Struthio camelus: one gene and its partners. The protein of the gene in region 3 purifies or fractionates together with the protein of the main gene of each other region. This does not show direct contact. Links are inferred from orthologs where the notes say so. Each region holds a gene or a part of one and is shown on either strand. Other genes may lie near its edges.

Region 1 (7,614 bases), on a different chromosome or scaffold from region 3:
ACACGCGTGGCAAGTACCAAAAATTGTAACTCAGATTCCTTATGAACAGAATAGATTTAAATAGCTGGAAAAAAAAAATCAAAAGAGTATTTACTGAGACTTGAAGACGATGGTGACTTTATTATGGCTTCCTTTCTTCTACCAAAAATCACATCATATTATTACGTAATTTACTCTATTGTTACACGTTCCCATTAAACTACTTAGACCCACACTAAAAAAAAAACAAAAAACCCTAGCAAATTAAAACCATGGGCGGATCTACCTGAAGGAAGGGGCAGGAAAGGGAGGAAGAAGCTAAAGGAGCTGTAGCTACTTCTCCCTCACATCCACCCTCAATGGCACAATGCACCCTCATGTCTGTATGAGGCCGGTGTAGCCAACCATCTGTGGAACTTCCCTTCTCTCATTATCAGCATTGCACGTAGCCCCAACACAGTTTTTCAGATTTCTAGAGGGTTTTTTTTTTTAAATACCACTTAGTTGCTTGGAAATTTTTCTGCTATCTTTCATCACAATTTTGGAATAAAACCTGAGAATTTTTCATCTTGCCTCCAAATAATTAGATAAACGCACAACAAATTCCTGCACAGTTTAATATGGTCCAATTGGCAGACACAAGCAGCTTGCCTGCCTACAGCACCATGTGAGGGCTATTTCTCCTGATAGGAATGAAGAGGACGATGGTCCCACTACGTTCTCTTTCACGACTGACAATTCTTTTCACTTTATATTTTATTTTCATACTTCAAAAGAGTATTTTTAAAAGTATACATATCAAAATTCCTCATATAAAGGTTGTACTAAGGGATATTTTGTATATGAAATTAGTTCCAAAACACAGAACTACTTGCTTCCAAAGAATGCAGGAAAACAACTTCTCAGAGTCGCAAGCTCCTCCCTAAAAGGACAGGATCCTGTACCAAGATACGCCATGGCACTAGGCTGTACCCACAGAGTCTCCTCTAGAAAGACTCCTTCCTAGACTAACTCCTTCCAGTAGTTGGTAAGAGCTATTATCTGCTTAACTACTGTGTCTGTTGTCAAACAGGAAAAATCTTAACAAAGCATCCAAAAGATGTGCCTTTCAGCTGCACCAGGAACGCGGGGTCACACAGATGTATATCTGTGAAGCATGAGGTGGGAGCTATTTCAGCAACCCAAACTTCATGCAGAACCAGACAGGTCTCTTGCTCTACGATAGGCCCCTGACTCACAGGGAACTGTAATAACTATTAGAAAGGAATCATGCACTTATCTAGTGAGTGGAATTTCAGACAGGCTGTACTTATTTGGTATCTAGAATCAGTTTTCTCAAGAAGACAGCACTGAGGTAGGCAAGAGACATATTCCTAACTTCCTTAAGAAAAGTGCATGTTCCAGCAAAAACATACAGTCCTGTAAAAGTGTCAAATCTGAAACATCTCAGAGCTGCTGAATTAACTTCTATGGCATAGCTAAAAAAAAAAAAAAGAGAGACAAATTTACAGCCAACCAACCACCTATACTTCAGGCAAACATTAAGAATCAAATATTCTGAAAAGGTTCTCTACTATGAAGTACAGCAACCGACACAGTAAGATACCTCCTTTCTTGTCCTGTGTCGTACAGGTCAAATTCTCAGACTTACCATATCATCACTTTTTTGAACTTCTGCCTGAGCCTTCTGGCTGTCAGGTAGCCCATTCTGCCTTTCTTCTTTTGGGCTGCTGGCCTGACTTTTGTTGGGGATCAAGGCGGACGGTTCATGACCATTCTGGAGTGGCGGAGGAGTAGAAGATGAGGGAGGAGGTAGGCTGGGTTTTGCATCTGCTTCTTCTAGTAATAAACATATCAAATCACCAGAAACAATCCCATATGAAGCCAAGGTCTTCTGGTCTTCTGTGAGAGCATCCTTGTTGTTCAGTGTTATTGAAAACTGCGCGTCATAACTGGAAAGTAATGGAAAAGAAATAAAGTGTGGTTAGCTGCATCTGGGTAACTGAACACAGGTATTGAAATGTAGAATTAGAAATGTATATTGCATACTGCTTAAGTACTGTTCCACAGGTTTTAATCCATTAAAAATTAGCTATACACTTAAAGGAAGAGCAGGGAAAAACTAAGGGTTATGCTATGAAGTGATTCCCTCATTTTTCTCTCCAAGCGTGTTTTAAATAACTGAAGTTGCTTAGTGGGTATAACTTCATCTGCAATAACCGCTCATAAAACAGATATGAAGGAAAGCAAACAGGTGCCTTCCAAATTAAACATATTCAACCTAATAAAACAAGTGTTAAATAAACCACTGACTCAGATCACTTAAAAACAGGACACTATTGCAGATTCAAATCACCTTGCTTTCCGATTAACAAAACATTTGCTTCAAAAGGTCAGCAGCTGCCCTCCAGCATGGCAATTACAGATGTGGGCAGTAAGAAAAGCTGCTTCAGCGCAAGCAATTACAAAAAAATAAAATAAACATGAACGTGGTTAGCATGAAAACCGTTATCAAGTACCAACTACAAAAATATACCCAGCACGGCAGGACGTACAATAACTCCAGCCTACGGTGGTATGCTGTACAGTGCAGTGCCATCGAATGTACGTACTGCCAATGAAACATGAGTTTCATCCTCATACCCGGTGACAGATTTGTGACTACAAACTGTTTCCACGCTACTAGAAAAGGAGTTTCTTCTGTAGGCAGCTCTTCCATTACCTTAACAGGTTTTATCCTCCTATAAACGTTGTCATGAGTTCTTCACACGTAAAAAACCTTTTATGAAGTCTAAACCCAGAGAGCCTCTAAGAAAGCCACAAAACTGTAAAACAGACATCCAGCCGCAACTCTTTGTAACATCAGCGCCACCGAGCAATACAAGCCAGCTCCGGCCGAGCTGCGCCCCGCGTTTCAAGGGCGGGCACGGGCCGAAGCGCGCTGCGCGTGCCGGAGCGACCGTTAACGCTCGGCAACCGAAACGTAACTGAAGTTTCCGTGACCTACCAGCCCTACCAGCCCTGTGCTACCCGGGGAAAACGCAGCTGGAAGGTGTGCCCGAAGGAGGGCAGTGACTTTTACCAAGTGCTCTGTGAGCTTTAGCAGCCTTCGACACGGTCTCGCGAAGTGACTAAAACCCCCGGAGCTGCAGGCCTTTAACCTCACGCCCCCCCACCCCCCGGCAACGTTCAGGCGACGCCGCTGCGCCGCCCTCCCCCGCCGGCTCCTGCCCTAGCGAGGCCCAGCGGGGTCTCCCCACACAGCCCTCCCAAACCCGGCACTCGCGACGGAGCCGGTTACGCAGCACCGGCCGGTCCCGCCGCCCGGCCCGGCCCGGCGTCCCGCTCCCGCCGCCCACAGGGGGCAGCAGCGCCGCCGCTCGCCGGGGCCCTTCCCCTCCCTCTCTCTTCCCCCCTCCCCCCGCGCCGCGTGGTACGGCCCCGCCAGCCCCCCCCTTCCCTTCCCTTCCCCTCCCTTCGGCGATGGTTCGCTCCGCACGTTACCTGTACCCCCAGGCGGGCAGCACGGCCTGGCGCAGCTGCGCGCGCAGCTCCCCCAGCGTTGGCTCCGCCCCCTGCACCTCCAGCGGCGCCGTCCGCTTCTGCAGGCGGACGCGAAGCTTCATGATGATGGCGGCGGCGGGTCTCCGCGCCCGCCTGGCGCTCCGAGCTGGCCCCGCCGGGCGGCGGTGATGGTGGCAGCGGGCGCAAGGGCTGCCGGGGCGTGTCGTTGTTTTGGTTGGCGCGGCGCCGCCCCAGCGCGGAGCCGCCCCGCCCCGGCGGGCCCGAGTTGCGCCGCCCCTCCCCCCCCCCCCCCGCAATCGCGCACCCAAGAGCAGCGCGGCCGATCGATGCCTCAGGCTTCCACGCTGTGCCTGCGCGACGCCATCGGTGATTGGGCGCTCGGGCTGTGCCTGCTGCGCATGCGCCGACGCGGATGTACCCGCCCTTCCTCCTCTCTTTTTTCCGCCTTCGGGGGGGGGGGGGAGGTGAGGGGACCTCTGGTGGTACTGTTGTTTTGGGTTGCTTCTCTGTTGTTATTCCAAGGTTATCCCCTTCCCCGCCTGGAAGGAGTAACGGGAATGATTTCTGCAGATTGGTTGCCTGCCTGTGTGCTGAGTAGTTCGGTTTTGCCTCGCCTCCAATTTTGAGGCCCTTTTAGATATCATTCTAAAAAGGTATTAAGGAGCCTGTTCCTGTTTGGGTATTAAACTCTGTGCAGGCAAAGCTCATGGAAACAGATGATCTAGGGGAAAGGCTGAGGGAGGGCACTGAGTATGACTCTTCCCCCCCTCCCCCCAAGGTACACTGGTGAACTGTCATCGTAGAGGTAATGTATTAGACCTGTAGTCAAATGTTGCTATGTCCTTAGCAAAAATACAAAGTACAGCAAACTTTTCTAATGTTCTATTCTACTTTCATAGTCAGTGCTACTCAAAAAAGGCCTCCCTCCACGCCTTAGATGTAAAAAATAAACTTCTGCTTTTATCTAAAAAAATACTTTTTTCAGAAAGTCTGGTAGGAAAAATGTAAAAGGTGGGCACAGATTATTCAAGTTGTTTACTTTGTTTAATGACTTATATTAATCCTTTAAGGAGAACAAATCCCTTCAGTGTGAGTTCAGAGATAATCTGTGTACAAAAGTTATCTTGTTTTTTGGTGGTTTTGTTTTTTGTTTTTTCCCTTCAGATGCAGTTATGAACACGAAGAAATCTTAGGCCTGTTGAGAGCAGAAACAGGGCATCCATTTATGAAGATACGTTCCTTACATGGAGAGAGGAAAATATGAATGAGGTATAGCAAGCCTAGAATACTCTGTAGGAGTATAATAAAAGAGTAGTGCTAGGTGAAGTGAATTTGAAACAGTCTGTACAGCTGCCACCAAGTACAGCTGCTTATTCTGGTGCTATTTACATTGCATATCTCCAGTATTCATAGGAAAGGCCTCTCTCTCTTGTTTTAGTCCTTCTGGGGACAGGTGCAAACAGGAGAATGAAACTTCACAAAACCTGTTCTGGGCTATGGTTGAAATCTCAGGCTAGTTCTTCTGTCATCTGAACATGGTCATTCAACTGAGGTAAATGTGGCTGTTGCATTTCACTTCAGAGTTTGGTGTCAAATACACCTATGGGCATATTTGGGCAACCATCATCTGTTTTCAATATCTTAAACTTCTCAGGGGAAAGGAGAGGGCGTATGGAAGAAGAAGACAAAAGGAATGACAAAGGCACTTTACGGAAATGGAAAAATACCATTCAGTCAACAATGAAAGAACTGGTGCTTGTGCTCAACCTTGTCTTGCACACCTGGTCCTTTAATGAGAACATTAAAACAAGTTGTTTCATGAGGGGCTTACTGACCCTTTTATGACAGCCCCAATTTGAGAACTACTTATGCAATAGTCATCAAATGGGGCCACACTGTGGACAGATGCCGGAAGGGTGGGTTGCTGTGGCAGAGGGGTGTGTGACTAGAAGGAAGTGGCAAAGGCAGGGACAAAGAAGATAGAAATGAAGAGAATATTTGGGGAGCAGTCAAGAGCACCATGCCTGCCAGAAACTGCATTCCTCTCTCTTGGAGAGGGCTGCATCCAAAATGAGTCATGCTGGTGCCTGAACAGTGGGACAGCTTCCCAGTGGCCACAGGCCTCCTGCTGTGTTTTGCTCTTTAGCGTTGTCTCTGTCCCAGCCACCTCCTGCGTTCCCATTGGCCCCAGGGCTGCTCAGTCCACGTTCTCCTTTAGGAAGGGAGGAGGGGACTCCCCTAGTCTGAGAAACGTTGATGAGTACCGTTGCGATGTTTCCAGCAGAAGCACCATTTAAGTAGCTTGCACAAGCTAAGGTAGTTGTGTGAAGTAAGAAGGTTCAATTCCTCAGGCTCCGGCCATGCTATTCATTATTAGGTAACCAGCTACACCATTTGCAAGTGAGCACTTTTGCTGGCATTTTGCTAAATGTTTTTTTGAATTTCATGAGTCATGCCACAATGCAAGGTTCAGACCTACTCTTCACACAGCAGTATTAAACAGGAAAATCTCCTAAGAAACAATTATGGTAAAAGCCTAAAACATGCTGTACAGCTTTAATGTTTGTCTGTGCCAAATTCAGCTGACCTAGAACCACCATCATCAAGGTGCAAGTACAACCTGCCAATCTCTGCTTCTGAGGTTTGACTGATGGAGTGAAACTATTGACAATGTTTCAGACTCCTCCTCGCAGCCTCAAAAGGCCACAAAAAGGCTTTTGATTGGGATTGATTTCAAGTTGACTGAAATAAAAAAATAATTTAAGCTAAACCAAAAATTACAGTTTGAGGGAGTCAGAAGTACTGCTTTCTTTTTCCTCCCACATCTATCTGAAAGAGCTGATAGTTGGTGTTATTTTCTCCACCTTTTTGAGTTTTGTCTCTTTCTGTAGGCAAGAGAGAGTATGGCCAAGTATGAGCTTGACCTCAGGCTAGGAAAGTCATTGTACCAAGGTAGCACAAGGAACTTGTGTTCTTACAAGCTTGAAGAAATGGTTGTATGCAGAATTTTGACTTTCAGCATGGTATGCCAGTGTCAGATATGATGATTGTATATTCTTCTTTAACAAATTAGACTAAAAAAACAATGTGATAGAAAAAGAAAGTTATTTTCAGCATTCGTATGCAACTTGAAGTAACACAAAATGGTTGTTAAGTATAATATGTTTCCTCAACTCAACATTTTTTACTCAGGGTTTTTTTTCACATGGTCAGTATAAAACACAGGCAATAGAACCCCTTCCACCTAAGTGGTAAAACTGCACCGTTAGCAATAATGTTAAGGTTTTACTTGAGAAATTTGAAACCTGATACAGCTGTAGTCCTGTTGACCTGCAGTCAACTTCCCATGGCAGGGTAAAACTATAAAAAGTAAAGGTCCTTTTGGTTCAATTACTTACCTCATGGAACATATTTTTTTTCTGAAAGCTGAGTACAGTAATAAGGCTGTGAGCCAGTGGATTTTTTCCATTGTTTTTCTTTCTGTATTTGCCACTGTAAAGATCTTGTTTTATAATACATATATATTAAGTACATATATGTGTATGTATATTAACTCTTTTGATACTGATATTTTGAGTGACTAGGGTCACACTGAGAAGTGGTAAAATGAGCAAGAGAAGGGGCTGGAGACTGGAGCATTGTCGGGAAATTTGTGATCTCATGTCACAGAAGTGCGATAGTCTGAAGTACCATTTTGAGCGTGCCACTGGAGGACATTCAAATCAAAGCCAGTGGAAAGGACCTCTTAGCTTCTCGCAGCTTGATAGTGGACAACTTCACTCCTAAAAGGCATTTTAAAGCCCTTCATGCTATTGGTCTATAACTAACACATTTGGTGGAGGTGTGCTTTACAAGCATCTCAGATCAGCGGCCTACATAGGGCCCTTATGCAGTCTGTGGATCTTGTTCACATAGCTCTTGACTGCTTTAATCTACTTCTCATGAAAGTACTTGTTCAAATGGGAGCAAGGGACCTTTCAGTGGGTTTTCTGGGCCTTTTCATACTGCTTCAGGCCTTTTTTGGCCACCACCATATTTTCCTGGATTTATTCAGAGATTGCAGTCTACTTTTTCATAGTAGGAGTAGGCAGCGCGGCCATTGACAGCCCT
Region 2 (7,717 bases), on a different chromosome or scaffold from region 3:
CTTCTTCTGCCCCACGGAGACCCCATAGAAACCCTCCTCTGCCCCATAGAGACCCTCCCCTGCCCCATAGGGACCCCATAGAGCCTCCCCTGCCCCATAGGGACCTCATGGACCTTCTTCTGCCCCATAGAAACCTCCTGGAGACCCTCTTCTGCCCCATGGAGACCCCATTGACCCTCCCCTGCCCCATAGAGACCCCATAGACCTTCCTGTGCCCCATAGAGCCCCTCCCCTGCCCCATAGGGACCCTAAAGACCCTCTGCTGCCCCATAGAAGCCCCATAGAGACCCCGTAGACCTTCCTGAGCCCCATAGGGCCCCTCCTCTGCCCCATAGCGACCCCAAAGACCCTCTGCTGCCCCATGGGGCCCCCATAGATCCCAGCCCCAGCCCCAAAGACCCCGTCCCCCGCCCCACAGACCCCCCCCAGCCCCACAGACCCCCCCCAGCCCCACAGACCCCGCCCCCTGCCCCATAGATCCCGCCCCCGGCCCCATAGATCCCACCCCCGGCCCCACAGACCCCGCCCCCTGCCCCATAGATCCCGCCCCCTGCCCCATAGATCCCACCCCCGGCCCCACAGGCCCCGCCCCCAGCCCCACAGACCCCCCCCCAGCTCCATAGATCCCGCCCCCGGCCCCATAGATCCCACCCCCCGCCCCACAGGCCCCGCCCCCGCCCCACAGGCCCCGCCCCCCGGCACCTCCAGCAGCGCCTGCAGCTCGGCCACCTTGGCCGGGAACCCGGCGCCCAACAGCGCCTGCACCTGGGCCGCCAGCCGGGCGCGCAGGGCCTCCTCCTGCCGGCACCGCGGCTCTGCCCGGACGCCTGGGCCCGCGCCCGGACGCCTGGGCCCCGCGCCCGCGCGCCTGGGCCCCTCCCCGGACACCTGGGTCCCTCCCCAGACACCTGGGCCCCTTCCCTGGACACCTGGGCCCCTTCCCCGGACGCCTGGGCCCCGCGCCCGCGCGCCTGGGCCCCTCCCCGGACACCTGGGTCCCTCCCCGGACACCTGGGCCCCCTCCCCGGACGCCTGGGCCCCTTCCCCGGACACCTGGGCCCCTTCCCCAGACGCCTGGGCCCCTCCCCGGACACCTGGGTCCCTCCCCAGACACCTGGGCCCATCCCCGGACGCCTGGGCCCCTTCCCCGGACACCTGGGCTCCTTCCCCGGACACCTGGGCCCCTTCTCCGGACACCTGGGTCCCCTCCCCGGACGCCTGGGCCCATCCCCGGACACCTGGGCCCCCTCCCCGGACACCTGGGCCCCTTCCCCGGACGCCTGGGCCCCGCACCCGGACACCTGGGCCCCTTCCCTGGACACCTGGGTCCCTTCCCTGGACGCCTGGGCCCCTCCCCAGACATCTGGGCCCCCTCCCCGGACGCCTGGGCCCCTTCCCCGGACGCCTGGGCCCCTCCCCGGACGCCTGGGCCCCTTCCCCGGACACCTGGGCCCCTCCCCGGACACCTGGGCCCCTTCCCGGACGCCTGGGCCCCTTCCCCAGACACCTGAGTCCCTTCCCTGGACACCTGGGCCCCTTCCCCGGACACCTGGACCCCCTCCCCGGACACCTGGGCCCCCTCCCCGGACACCTGGGCCCCTCCCCGGACACCTGGGCTCCTTCCCCGGACGCCTGGGCCCCTCCCCAGACACCTGGGCCCCCTCCCAGACACCTGGGCCCCTTCCCCGGACACCTGGGCCCCCTCCCCGGACGCCTGGGTCCCTTCCCCGGACACCTGGGCTCCTTCCCCTGGACTCCTGGGCCCCTTCCCGGACGCCTGGGCCCCTCCCCGGACACCTGGGCCCCTCCCCGGACACCTGGGCTCCTTCCCCGGACACCTGGGCCCCACTGCTACCCATCCTGCACCCTAGATGCCTGGGCCCCGCCACTACCCACCCTGCAACCCGGACACCTGGGCCCTGTCACCCCGGACACCTGAGCCCCACAACAACTCGCCCTGCACCCCGGACGCCTGGGCCCAACCACAACCCGCCACCCGGACGCCTGGGCCCTGCCGCAACCCACCCCCCGGACGCCTGGGCCCCACTACCCAGACACCTGGTCCCTGCACTCGCCATGCACCACCCCGGACACCTGGGCCCCACCACCCGGACGCCTGGGCCCCACGCCCACCCTGCACCCCAGACGTCTGGGCCCTGCACACACCCCGCCACCCGGACGCCTGGGCCCTGCCACAACCCGCCCCTCCGCCCGGACCCTGCACCGCCCGGACGCCTGGGCCCCACTGCAACCTGCCACCCGGACGCCTGGGCCCTGCACACACCCCACTGCCTGGACACCCGGGCCCCACATCCACCCCGCTGCCCAGATGCCTGGGCCCCACATCCACTACACCCCGGACGCCTGGGCCCCACATCCGCCCCACCGCCCAGATGCCTGGGTCCCGCTGCCCGGACGCCTGGGCCCCACTGCAACCCACTGCCCGGACGCCTGGGCCCCACTGCAACCCGCCACCCAGACACTTGGGCCCCACACCCACCCTGCACCCCGGACGCCTGGGCCCCACCACAACCCGCACCCCGGACGCCTGGGCCCCACATCCGCCCCACCACCCAGATGCCTGGGTCCCGCCACCCGGACGCCTGGGCCCCACTGCAACTCGCCACCCGGACGCCTGGGCCCCACCACCCCACACCCCGGACACCTGGGCCCCTACGACCCCCTCAAGCCCGGACGCCTGGGCCCCTGCCCCGCCCCTCTGCAGCCTCTCTCTTCCCCTCCCCTTCCCCGGACGCCTGGGCCCCTCCCCGTTCGGACACCTGCTCCCTCTCCGCTCCCCTCCCCCCCCCCAACCCCGGCCCCGCTCCCGGACGCCTGGGCCCCCTCCTTCCCTCCCCAAGCCGAGCTGCCCGGACATGCCCCGGACGCCTGGGCCCCCCCCCGGCCCGGACGCCTGGGCCCCCCCCCGGACCTGCGGTGCAGCCATGGGGGCAGCAGCGAGAGCGAAAGCGAAAGCTCGGGGGTTCCCCGCGTGGGGGGGGGGGGCGGGGCCAGTGCGCCCCGCCCCCCCCGGACGCCTGGGCCCCCCCGGAAAAAAAAAAAAGGGGAAAAAAATTACCCGAAACCACCCCAAAACAACACGTTTTATTCCCGGGGTTCCCGGTCCAGGTAGCGGGGGGGGGGGCAGTCCCATCCCCCCACCCCAAGCCGGACGCCTGGGCCCCCACCTCACCCGGACGCCTGGGCCCCCCCGTCCCCGCCAAGGGGCCTGGCGGGGGGGCAGGGGGGGCCATCGCTGAGATCGGCTCGCCCGGACGCCTGGGCCCTTGCCGGGGCATGGCCGGGGTTTTGGGGGAGTCCTGGGACGCCCTCCCGGACGCCTGGGCCCCTCCGGGAAACGTGGCTGCCCTGGGCTTTCGGGGCTTCCCAGGACACCCTCCCACCCCTCCCGGACACCGGGGCCCCTCCCGGACGCCTGGGCCCTTCCCAGATGTACGGGTAACCCCATTGCCTGGGTCACCCGGACGCCTGGGCCCCTCCCGGACGCCTGGGCCCTTCCCAGATGTACGGGTAACCCCATTGCCTGGGTCACCCGGACGCCTGGGCCCCTCCCGGACGCCTGGGCCCTTCCCAGATGTACGGGTAACCCCACTGCCTGGGTCGCCCGGACGCCTGGGCCCCTCCGGGACGCCTGGGCCCTTCCCAGATGTACGGGTAACCCCATTGCCTGGGTCGCCCGGACGCCTGGGCCCCTCCCGGACGCCTAGGTCCTACCCAGATGCCCGGGCGCGCCTTGTTGCGCGTAGGGTCGCCCGGACGCCTGGGCCCTTCCCGGACGCCTGGGCCCCTCCCGGACGCCTGGGCCCTTCCCAGATGTACAGGTAACCCCATTGCCTGGGTCGCCCGGACGCCTGGGCCCTTCCCGGACGCCTGGGCCCTTCCTAGATGTACGGGTAACCCCATTGCCTGGGTCACCCGGACGCCTGGGCCCCTCCCGGACGCCTGGGCCCTTCCCAGATGTACGGGTAACCCCATTGCCTGGGTCGCCCGGACGCCTGGGCCCCTCCCGGACGCCTAGGTCCTACCCAGATGTACGGGTAACCCCATTGCCTGGGTCACCCGGACGCCTGGGCCCCTCCCGGACGCCTGGGCCCTTCCTAGATGTACGGGTAACCCCATTGCCTGGGTCGCCCGGACGCCTGGGCCCCTCCTGGACGCCTGGGCCCTTCCCAGATGTACGGGTAACCCCATTGCCTGGGTCACCCGGACGCCTGGGCCCCTCCCGGATGCCTGGGCCCTTCCCAGATGTACGGGTAACCCCATTGCCTGGGTCGCCCGGACGCCTGGGCCCCTCCCGGACGCCTGGGCCCTTCCCAGATGTACGGGTAACCCCATTGCCTGGGTCGCCCGGACGCCTGGGCCCCTCCCGGACGCCTAGGTCCTACCCAGATGTACGGGTAACCCCATTGCCTGGGTCACCCGGACGCCTGGGCCCCTCCCGGACGCCTGGGCCCTTCCCAGATGTACGGGTAACCCCATTGCCTGGGTCACCCGGACGCCTGGGCCCCTCCCGGACGCCTGGGCCCTTCCCAGATGTACGGGTAACCCCATTGCCTGGGTCGCCCGGACGCCTGGGCCCCTCCCGGACGCCTGGGCCCTTCCCAGATGTACGGGTAACCCCATTGCCTGGGTCGCCCGGACGCCTGGGCCCCTCCCGGACGCCTGGGCCCTTCCCAGATGCCTGGGCCCCTCCCGGACGCCTGGGCCCTTCCCAGATGTACGGGTAACCCCATTGCCTGGGTCACCCGGACGCCTGGGCCCCTCCCGGACGCCTGGGCCCTTCCCAGATGTACGGGTAACCCCATTGCCTGGGTCGCCTGGACGCCTGGGCCCCTCCCGGACGCCTGGGCCCTTCCCAGATGTACGGGTAACCCCATTGCCTGGGTCGCCCGGACGCCTGGGCCCCTCCCGGACGCCTAGGTCCTACCCAGATGCCCGGGCGCGCCTTGTTGCGCGTAGGGTCGCCCGGACGCCTGGGCCCTTCCCGGACGCCGGGGCCCCTCCCGGACGCCGGGGCCCCTCAGCGGGGCTGCAGGCCCAGGCCGGGGCGGCCGGGCGAGCAGGGGCAGCGGTACCAGAGGCGGTAGGTGAGGGCCCAGGCGGCCCAGCCCAGGCCGGCGCCGGCGGCGTTGCAGGCCCAGTCGTGCCGGTAGGCCAGCGTGGCCGCCAGCAGCCCGTGCCACAGCAGCAGCAGCGCCACGTTGAGCAGGAAGAGGAGGCAGAGGGCCGTGCCCGGACGCCTGGGCCCTTCCTCCTCCTCCTCCGCCTCTGTTCCCCGAACGCCCGGACGCCTGGGCCCCTCGGACTCCTGGGCCCCCCACAGCTGCCCGGGCCCCTCGGACTCCTGGGCCCCCCAGGGCCAGGACGACGAGATCGCACCCGGACGCCCGGGCCCCTCGGACTCCTGGGCCCCCCAGGGCCAGGACGACGAGATCGCACCCGGACGCCCGGGCCCCTCGAACTCCTGGGCCCAGCGGAGCGGAGACGAGGAGCCGAAGCCCGGACGCCTGGGCCCTCGGGGAAGCTCGCGGACAGGGAGCAGCAAACGAGGAGCCCAAAAGGGGGCGGGGGCCCGGGCAGCCGGACGCCTGGGCCCCGGCGGCGGGTGCAAGAGGCGGCCCAAGGCGGCGGCCTCCTCGGCCAGGCCCAGGCCGCAGTGCACCAGGGCGAAGGCCTGGGGCGAGACGGCGAGACCCTCCCAGCGGTGGCCGCCGGCCCGGCAGGCGCCGGGGTCGGCCTGGGCCGGGGGCGGCGGGAGGCCGCGGCGGCGGGCGGCCGGCAGGCAGCGGCCGGTGGCGGCTTCGAGGGCGGCGAAGAGGCGGGGGGCGGCGCGGGCCAGGCCGGCCGCCACGGCCAAGCGGCCGCCGGCTCGCAGCAGGGCGCCTCGGCGGCCGCCCCCCGGCCGGGCCAGGGGCCAAGCGGCCACCAGCAGCCCCCCGGCCAGCAGGGCCGTCCAGCCGCCGGCCGAGGCCACCAGGCGCCTGCGGGAGACGGGGGGGGGGGGGGGGAAGATGGCGGGTCGGAGTGGGGAGATGGTGGGGGGGGGGGGGGCCGGATGCCTGGGCCCCCCTCCCCTGGATGCATGCTTCCCTTTCCCGGACGCCTGGGTCCCTTCCCCGGACGCCTGGGTCCCTCCCCGGACACCTGGGCCCCTCCCCGGATGCCTGGGTCCCTCCCCGGACACCTGGGCCCCTCCCCGGACGCCTGGGTCCCTCGCCCGGACGCCTGGGCCCCTCCCCCGGACGCCTGGGCCCCTCCCCCGGATGCCTGGGCCCCTTCCCCGGATGCCTGGGTCCCTTCCCCGGACGCTTGGGCCCCTTCCCCGGATGCCTGGGCCCCTCCCCGGACACCTGGGCCCCTTCCCCGGATGCCTGGGCCCCTCCCCCGGACACCTGGGCCCCCTCCCCGGACACCTGGGTCCCTCCCCCGGACACCTGGGTCCCTTCACCGGATGCCTGGGCCCCTTCCCCGGACACCTGGGCCCCTTCCCCGGATGCCTGGGCCCACTCCCCGGACGCCTGGGCCCCTCCCCGGATGCCTGGGCCCCTCCCTGGACACCTGGGCCCCTTCCCCCAGATGCCTGTGCCCCTCCCCCGGACGGCTGGGCCCCTCTCCCGGATGCCTGGGCCCCTCCCCGGACACCTGGGTCCCCTGTCCCGGACACCTGGGCCCCTCCCCGGACACCTGGGCCCCTCCCCAGACACCTGGGCCCCTCCCCGGACACCTGGGCCCTTTCCCCGGACACCTGGGCCCCTTCCCCGGATGCCTGGGCCCCTTCCCCCGGACGCCTGGGCCCCCTTCCCGGACTCCTGGGCCCCTCCCCAGACACCCGGGCCCCTTCCCCGGACGCCTGGGCCCCTCCCCGGACACCTGGGCCCCTCCCCAGACACCTGGGCCCCTTCCCCGGACACCTGGGCCCTTTCCCCGGACACCTGGGCCCCTTCCCCGGATGCCTGGGCCCCTCCCCAGACGCCTGGGCCCCCTTCCCGGACTCCTGGGCCCCTCCCCAGACACCTGGGCCCCTTCCCCGGACACCTGGGCCCTTTCCCCGGACACCTGGGCCCCTTCCCCGGATGCCTGGGTCCCTTCCCCGGATGCCTGGGCCCCTCCCCGGACACCTGGTCCCCTTCCCCAGACGCCTGGGCCCCTTCCCGGACACCTGGGCCCCTTCCCGGACGCCTGGGCCCCTCCCCGGACACCTGGGCCCCTCCCCCGGACACCTGGGCCCTTCCCCGGATGCCTGGGCCCCCTCCCCGGACGCCTGGGCCCCTCACCCGGATGCCTGGGCCCCTCCCCAGATACCTGGGCCCCTCCCCGGGCACCTGGGCCCCCTCCCCGGACGCCTGGGCCCCTCCCCCGGACACCTGGGCCCCTTCCCCGGATGCCTGGGCCCCTCCCCGGACGCCTGGGCCCCTCCCCCGGACACCTGGGCCCCTTCCCCGGACGCCTGGGCCCCTCCCCGGACGCCTGGGCCCCTTCCCCGGACGCCTGGGCCCCTCCCCTGGACACCTGGGCTCCTTCCCCAGATGCCTGGGCCCCTTCCCCGGACGCCTGGGCCCCTCCCGGACGCCTGGGCCCCTCCCCGGATGCCTGGGCCCCTTCCCCGGACGCCTGGGCCCCTTCCCCGGATGCCTGGGCCCCTCCCCCGGACACCTGGGTCCCTCCCCGGACACCTGGGCCCCTTCCCCGGATGCCT
Region 3 (7,717 bases):
AGGCATTGCCCAACGGCTGCCACCCTTCAGGCACGCAGCTGAGCACAAGTCTTAGGTGAGGAAGGGATACTTGATGTCACTTCAGATGTCTGTTTGTTAATAAAGCTATCACACACGAATAAAAGCTCCTCCTAAGAACCTAACACACAGACACCACACTTAGGATGTCAGAAGAGCCACCTGAGTTGCGGCAGTTTCATATGTAAGCTTATCAACTGATCTGGAAAAAGAGCAAAGTCAGAAAGATTCCAGAAGATTTCTGCTCTAGAAGATGTATTTTATCAACAACACAATGGCATCATGACTGCATCCATTTAAGAGCTCTCACTTCACAATTCCTTAAAAAGCAAGATTTATTACTTTTTGACTCCTCATTTAAGCAATGCTTCAATGAACTTAACGTGTACGAGGAAGATAAGGCTAACAACCCTCCTCCCAGGCCAAACAGGCCCACTAAAAGCTTCTTTGCTTCATCATTTACATTAAAAGCCCCCAGAACACTTTTCCCCAAGTTTAAACTTGTTCCCAATCAATCTTCAAGTTCTCAGGGACAAGAACAACACTTATTTAAGAACGCTTAATGCCCCCCAAAAGGCCCATCAGTTCTGCAGATGTAGATTAGCTTGCTCATAGGCACGCTACCTCTCACCTTTACCATCAGGTTTTAAAATTCACTTGAGCAAAACGTGACCAACTCCAAGCTAAGAAAAGGAATGTCACGTTGGTAATAACAAGAGAAAAGCTGCTCTGTTTTTTTAAAGGGACTCCATAAAGCACAAGGACCAAGAGGCAGCACTCCATTACCTCAGGAAAGTTAGGAGAAAGCATAGCGCTTGTTTGCTGTTAGGGAAGTATTTATGGACATTTAAGTGTCACCCTACTGATGTCAACTTTTGTAGTTAAAGATTCACGGCATACAAACATTCAAAACCTCTAGCTTCAGCAATAGTTTTTAGTAGTTCTGATTTTGGGATTAGCATCTTTGGATTGCATTTGTTTTAGGAGTAGATTGGTGGGGGCAACGTTCCCCGGCTTCCTCCTCCTGAGCTGCAGTGTTTTTTAAATTCCTCAAGAACTATAATATAGAAGAATAGAGCTACAGGAAGCGTAGCAGCTGTATGGGAGAGATTAAACAACCCTTCTGCTAAAGACTGTACATAAAAGGAAGCAAAGAGCTGCCAAAAGTCACATACAAGAACAGCACCTATCAGAACAGGCAGCATCTCCCAACTCCTGCTCAGTGTTGCGTATTACCCTTGGAAGTTGGCCAAGTTCTGCTTTACTATAGAGAAAGACCAGAGCCCAAACTAACAGAATGTGCCTCTGTTGGATTTTGTTGCTTGCTTGTTTTCTACTGGCGGAGGGGAGCGTTTGCTATTTATTTCAGTGTCTCTGTCCAAATTTAGGCTCCTCGTTTGCGAGGGTTCTCAAGATCACAGTTCAGCACCCAGGTAGAGTTGATACGGTTGTAGCATGAGAGAGCTCACGGTACCTTAATGGCCTCAATGGCATACTCCACTTGGAAGAGCCTCCCCTCCGGAGAAAAGGTGTTCACACCCCTGCAAGAACAACATCAGAGATGGCATTAAGAGGCGGGAAACTGCAGGCCGTCAGGAAACGCAGTTCCTCGAGGGTTCATGAGCGATGAGGGTACAGGTCAGGCCGGCTAGGAGGAGGTAACACAGGAGCAACACATTTCAGCAGCTGGAATACTTTATCGCTTCATACTCCTCACCCCAGCAGCCTGTCACCCTGATGGCAGAGGCTCATTGGCAAGGTCTGGAGCCAGGATACTTAGAGAGAAACAGGAAAGAAATTCCAGCAGATCTAATCACAGGTCAGAAGGAAGTTTAATCTAGTGAAATACTTTACGTTGTGGAAGCTGGAAGTAAACTGTCTTTGGAGTCCAAGCAGCATGCTTTCTTTCAGCTCCGGGAGACAGCAGCCTTCTGCTTAGCCCAAACAAAGATCCATTCCCTTCTTCGGGCATCCCATTGCTGCTCTCCCCAGATGCTAACCCGACCTGACTTTTAATGCCCTTCCGATTATATTGGATAAGGATGGAGATAATGATGCAACACTGGCCATCTGTGTACCAGCAGGCCTCAGCCAAACACATTTTGCTGGTAAGCAAGAACAACAGCGCGGCCAACAAGTCCGTCCACACGCAGAACGTTTCCAGAGGTTTCCTAACGTTCAGCTCCTTCCTCGCCTTACGAGCAAGTTACTAAGATAAGGTACAGCCTTACGAAATCACTGCCTGCGGGTAACACCGCTCAAGTCAGAACTTCCACTGGTTGGCCCTGATCCTGGTGTAACCAGAGCGCACCCCCCCCGCCACACCAGGGCCCCGAAATCCTTTCGGCTCGCTGCTAAGAAGGCAGAAACCGGGAGCTCTCTAGCAGCATGAGAGGCAGCCAAGGGCCGCCCTTGAACCCGGCGGAGCAGGGCTCTCTGGAAACGGAAAAAAAGCCCACATTAAAACAAAAATAAATAAAAGAAAGGAGGCGCGAGAGGAAGGAGGGAAGAGAAGGAGCGCGGATCGGGCGAAGAGACGAGAGCCGGGGCCGGCTCGGGGGCAGCGGCCGCAGGCGCGGGCGGCCGGGCAGGGCCGGCGCGGCCCAGGCGTGAGCCAGCAGGGCCGCGCTGGCCCCGCCGCTGGCGGGCTCGGGCCGGGCCGGGGCCCCGCCAGGCCCGGGGGCAGCGAGGCGGCGGCGGGGACGGGGCCGGGGCCCGGCTCGGCCCGTCGCCATGGAGACGGCGCGGGCGGGAGCAGGCCCGTGACTCAGCCGCAGGCCGCGGCCGCCCGGGGAGGCGGGAGGCGGCGGGGGGGGGGGGGGCGGCGGGCACTCACCGGTCGTACTCGGAGCGCGTGAGGAACATGGCGGCGGCGGCGGCGGGAGCGGGGCCGGGCGCGGCGGGCGGCTGGTGCGGGCGCAGGCCGGAGCGCCGCTCTCCCCTCGCCGGGCTGCCCACCACTTCCTGCCGGCGCCCGCCACCGCGCAGGCGCCGCCCCGCCCCGCCGGCCCGCTTCCGCTCGCCTCGCCGCCCCATTGGGCCGTCCTGGTGGGCGGACCCCGCGCCGCGCTCGGGGGCGGGGCAAGAGCGGCCGCCAGCGGGGATTGGTCGAGGCGCTCCAGAGGGGCGGGACGGGGACGGTGCAGGGGGCGGGGCCAGGACTAGGGGCGGGGCCAGGGAGACTGGGGGAGGTGCGAGGGCAGAACGGGGGCGGGGCGAGTCTCACCCAGAGGGGGAGGGGCCGGTGCAGCAGCGGGAGGGGCGGGGCCTGCGGAGTGGGGGAGGGGCGGAGAAGTGCAGAAGGGGGTGGGGCAGGGTGGGGGAGGGGCAGGGTGACCCCCCCGCCCCCCGGGGTGCGGCTGCCACCCCCGGCCACCCCCCTCTGCCCCCACCCTGCCCTTCCGCTTCCCCTACGGCGCTTCCTGCCCCAGGCGCTGCCGGTGTCACCCGCTCGGTGTCACCCGCCGAGGGACAGAGCGAGGGACCGAGAGGCTAATGGAGAGACGGGTGATGGTGGGTGGAGGGGAGGGTGGACAGGGGGAGCATGGAGGGGCAGCAGGACGGAGAGATGGATGGATGGGCTGACGGGCTGGCGGAGCGAGACGTGGACAGATGGGTGGACGGACAGATGGACAGATGGATGAATGGATGGATGGGCAGATGAACAGATGGAAGGATGGATGGACGGACATAGAGACAGATGGAGAGACGGATGGATGGTTGGATGGATGGATGGATGGATGGACGGAAGGAGAGATGGATGGACAGATGGACGGATGGATGGACAGATGGAAGGATGGATGGACGGGCATAGAGACAGATGGAGAGACGGATGGATGGTTGGATGGATGGATGGATGGATGGACAGATGGAAGGATGGATGGATGGATGGAGAGACAGATGGAGAGAAGGATGGATGGTTAGATGGATGGATGGATGGACGGACGGAGGAATGGACAGATGGATGGATGGACAGATGGAAGGATGGATGGACGGATGGATGGATGCATGGAGGGATGGAAGGATGGATGGATGGAGAGATGGACAGATGGAAGGATGGATGGACGGATGGAAGGATGGACGGATGGACGGATGGATGGATGGATGGAGGGATGGAAGGATGGATGGACGGACAGATGGAAGGATGGTTGGACAAATGGACGGATGGATGGACAGATGGAAGGATGGATGGATGGATGGAGAGACAGATGGAGAGACGGATGGATGGTTGGATGGATGGATGGATGGATGGACGGAAGGAGAGATGGATGGATGGACAGATGGAAGGATGGATGGACGGATGGAGAGACAGATGGAGAGACGGATGGATGGTTAGATGGATGGATGGATGGACGGACGGAGGAATGGACAGATGGATGGATGGACAGATGGAAGGATGGATGGACGGATGGATGGATGCATGGAGGGATGGAAGGATGGATGGATGGACAGATGGATGGATGGACAGATGGAAGGATGGATGGACGGATGGATGGAGGGATGGAAGGATGGATGGATGGAGAGATGGACAGACGGACAGATGGATGGATGGACAGATGGAAGGATGGATGGACGGATGGATGGAAGGATGGATGGATGGACAGATGGATGGATGGACAGATGGAAGGATGGATGGACGGATGGATGGATGCATGGAGGGATGGAAGGATGGATGGATGGAGAGATGGACAGATGGAAGGATGGATGGACAGATGGAAGGATGGACGGACGGACGGATGGATGGATGGAGGGATGGAAGGATGGATGGATGGACAGGCGGACGGACAGACGGACGGATGGACAGCCGCACGGAGAGATGGGCAGATAGACAGATGGAGTGAGAAACGGGCGGGCGGCTGGACGGCGCGGCGCGGGGGCCGCCCGAAGCCGCCGCGCTGCGGCCGGGCCGGGCCGGGGGGCGGGGCCGGGGGCGGGGCCGGGCCGGGGTGCCCCGGGGGGGCGGGCCGGGGGCCGTCCCGGCGGGGGCCGGGGCCCAGGCGGGGCGGGGCGGGGCGGCGCGGGCGGCCCTGCCCGGGGCCGCGGGGGCTCCCGGCGGCGGCGCCGGGGCGGCTCGGACAGCGGCGCGGCCGCAGCGGGCGGCGGAGGCAGCCCCGACGGCGCCCACGGCCCCCCCGGCCCGGCCATGTCGGAGCCCGGCGCCCCCGCGGCCGGCGACAAAACGCCCCGGCTCCAGGTAGGGTCCCGCTGCGCCCCCCGGGGCAGCCCCCGGTGGCCTGGGGCAGCCCCCCCGCTGCGGCCCCCCGCTGCAGCCCCCCCGGTGCCACCCCCCCATTGCAAGCCCCCGGTGCAGCCCCCCGGTGCAGCCCCCCGGTGCCACCCTCGGTGCGACCCCTCGGTGCAGCCCCCGGTGCCACCGCCAGTGCAGCCCCCCAGTGCCACCCCCTGCTGCAGCCCCCCAGTGCCACCCCCATTGCAGCCCCCCAGTGCAGCCCCCCAGTACCACCCCGTTGCAGCCCCCCAGTGCAGCCCCTCTCTGCAGCCCCCCCAGTGCAGCTCCCCAGTGCCACCCCGTTGCAGCCCCCCAGTGCAACCCCCCGTTGCACCCCCCCCAGTGCAACCCCCTGCTGCAGCCCCCCGGTGCCACCGCCAGTGCAGCCCCCCAGTGCCACCCCCTGCTGCAGCCCCCCAGTACCACCCCCATTGCAGCCCCCCAGTGCAGCCCCCCAGTACCACCCCGTTGCAGCCCCCCAGTGCAGCCCCTCTCTGCAGCCCCCCCAGTGCAGCTCCCCAGTGCCACCCCGTTGCAGCCCCCCAGTGCAACCCCCCGTTGCACCCCCCCCAGTGCAACCCCCTGCTGCAGCCCCCCGGTGCCACCCCCGGCGCTCACGGCCGCTCTCCCCCGCAGGACCGCGTCCTGGGCGGGATGCGCTGGGGCCGCCTCCAGGAGCCCCTGGGCTTCATCAAAGTGCTGCAGTGGGTGAGTCCCCCCGGGTCCCCGTCCCCGTCCCGTGGGAGCCCCTCGGGCGCAGCCCCTTGCCCGGCACCCCAGGGTGGCGGCGCTTCCCCCCCAGCCGGGCTCCAGCGTTGCGCGGTTTCGGGGTCACCCGTCCTTTTCCCAAGACCTGCAACAGCCCCCAGGGACGAGGGGACCCGCCGGGTGCCAGCAGCGCTGGGTGGGGGGCACCCCGGGGGGGCACGTCCCGGCGAGGCCGGGCGTGGGGCCGCCCGGACGCCTGGGTCCGGCCGCGCGGCCCTCCCCGGTGACCTTGAGCAGGTGGCTTTGCCCGGCCACGCCGGAGGGGACGGTGACGTCGAGGTGCCGCGGTGGCCGCGGGCTTCGGCGGTGCCACGGGGGGTTCCCGCGCCTGGGATGGGGGGGGCAGCGATGGGGGAAGCCGGGCGCCCCGGGGGCGCGATGGATGGTTGCCGGATTATATTTCGGGGCAGCGGGTGCGTCCCTGGGGTGGCAGCGGCGGCGTGCTGGAAAACTCCGGCGGGGAGCGCCAGGGACGGGGTGGGGGGGGCGGCAAGGGAGGCTCCTCGCCGCTTCCCGCGCCGAGGGGCCCGGCGGGAACCGTAAAAAATCGCAGCGGGGGCCGCGGGGCGGGCGACCGCCGCCCCCGCCTCGGCCTCTCCGGGAGCTGGCGCGCCGCGGCCGACAGCTGCGGGGTGGCAGCCCGCCGCCGCCGCCGCCGTGACTCAGCGCCGCCGGCCTCGGCGGCCAAATCCTGCGCCCGACGCGCCGTCGCTCTCTCCCAGCTTTTCGCCATCTTCGCCTTCGGGGCCTGCGGCTCCTTCAGCGGCGAGAGCGGGGCCACGGTGAAGTGCAACGGCGAAACCAAAGAGATGAGCGCTATTTCGGTGCAGTTCGGGTATCCTTTCCGGTAAGGGCACGGGGACGGGCCCCGGTGTCCTGCGCGAGCACCCGCTGCTCCGACGCCGGCCGGGACCCCTGGGGACGCCGGCCTCGTCCCCCCCCCCCCGGCGTTGCGGCCGCGCTCCCGGAGTGCGTGGAGGCACCGCGGAGGAGGGAGCGTGCCGGCGTGCGCGCGGGGCGGTTTTGGGTGGATATAGGTTTTGGTGCATTTCGGGTGGATCCAGGATTCGGCGCGTTTTGGGTGGATACGGGCTTTTTTTCTCCTCTCTCCCTTGCCCTCACCCGCAGCCGGGCGATAGAGATTTTAATAGGGGCAGGATGCTCCAGCGCCGTCCTGCTCTGCCGGGTCGTTTCGGGGAGCCGGGAGCATCGCGTGGACCCGCTCCGGCCGGCCGCTCGCCTCGCGGCGCGCGCGCGCCGAGGCTGCGAGGAGCCTCGCGAGCCGGAGGGCGGCAGCGGGCGGCCGGCCGGCATCGCTCTGCCGCTGCGCCCAGGTTGTACCAGGTGCCCTTCGAGATGCCGGACTGCGAGGGCGCCGGCGAGAGCCAGACCCTGCACCTCGTCGGCGACTTCTCGGCGCCCGCCGAGTTTTTCGTGACCCTGGGGGTCTTCTCCTTCCTCTACGCCATGGCGGCTCTGGTGCTTTACCTGCGCTTTCATTCCCTCTACGGCGAAAATAAGAAGCTGCCCTTCGCGGTAAGGTGGCGCCGAGCCCGATCCCGCCGCGCGGCCCCGGCGGGCCGGCGACGGCGCTCAGCTCCTGCTCGTCCCCGGCAGGATTTCTGCGCGACCGTCTCCTTCGCCTTCTTCTGGCTGGTGGCGGCGGCGGCGTGGGGCAAGGGGCTCAGCGACGTCAAGGGG

Evidence for each region. Proteins that work in one complex are often made in the same cells at the same time.
Region 1: the proteins of PSMA5 (region 3) and FBXO7 purify together in Homo sapiens (affinity purification with mass spectrometry; 3 studies listed by BioGRID and IntAct, with this or other methods). This does not show direct contact. The link is inferred for Struthio camelus from reciprocal best matches to the Homo sapiens genes PSMA5 and FBXO7.
Region 2: the proteins of PSMA5 (region 3) and PSME1 purify together in Homo sapiens (co-immunoprecipitation; 5 studies listed by BioGRID and IntAct, with this or other methods). This does not show direct contact. The link is inferred for Struthio camelus from reciprocal best matches to the Homo sapiens genes PSMA5 and PSME1.

What each region holds. Positions count from the first base shown.
Region 1 is NC_090942.1:61,036,944-61,044,557, forward strand, and holds the start of FBXO7 (F-box only protein 7), read right to left. Parts: upstream 3,013-7,614; 5' UTR 2,699-3,012; coding exon 2,535-2,698; intron 1,932-2,534; coding exon 1,631-1,931; intron 1-1,630. UniProt on the Homo sapiens protein: Substrate recognition component of a SCF (SKP1-CUL1-F-box protein) E3 ubiquitin-protein ligase complex which mediates the ubiquitination and subsequent proteasomal degradation of target proteins and plays a role in several biological processes such as cell cycle, cell proliferation, or maintenance of chromosome stability.
Region 2 is NC_090970.1:244,310-252,026, forward strand, and holds the start of PSME1 (proteasome activator complex subunit 1), read right to left. Parts: upstream 3,013-7,717; 5' UTR 2,948-3,012; coding exon 2,933-2,947; intron 2,757-2,932; exon of another isoform or gene 2,398-2,756; intron 2,334-2,397; exon of another isoform or gene 1,798-2,333; intron 848-1,797; exon of another isoform or gene 818-847; intron 799-817; coding exon 703-798; intron 1-702. UniProt on the Homo sapiens protein: Implicated in immunoproteasome assembly and required for efficient antigen processing. The PA28 activator complex enhances the generation of class I binding peptides by altering the cleavage pattern of the proteasome.
Region 3 is NC_090965.1:4,151,303-4,159,019, forward strand, and holds the start of PSMA5 (proteasome subunit alpha type-5), read right to left. Parts: upstream 3,011-7,717; 5' UTR 2,884-3,010; coding exon 2,855-2,883; intron 1,560-2,854; coding exon 1,493-1,559; intron 1-1,492. Other genes in the region: SYPL2 (synaptophysin-like protein 2), read left to right, coding at 5,162-5,212, 5,885-5,956, 6,739-6,863, 7,351-7,552, 7,634-7,717. UniProt on the Homo sapiens protein: Component of the 20S core proteasome complex involved in the proteolytic degradation of most intracellular proteins. This complex plays numerous essential roles within the cell by associating with different regulatory particles.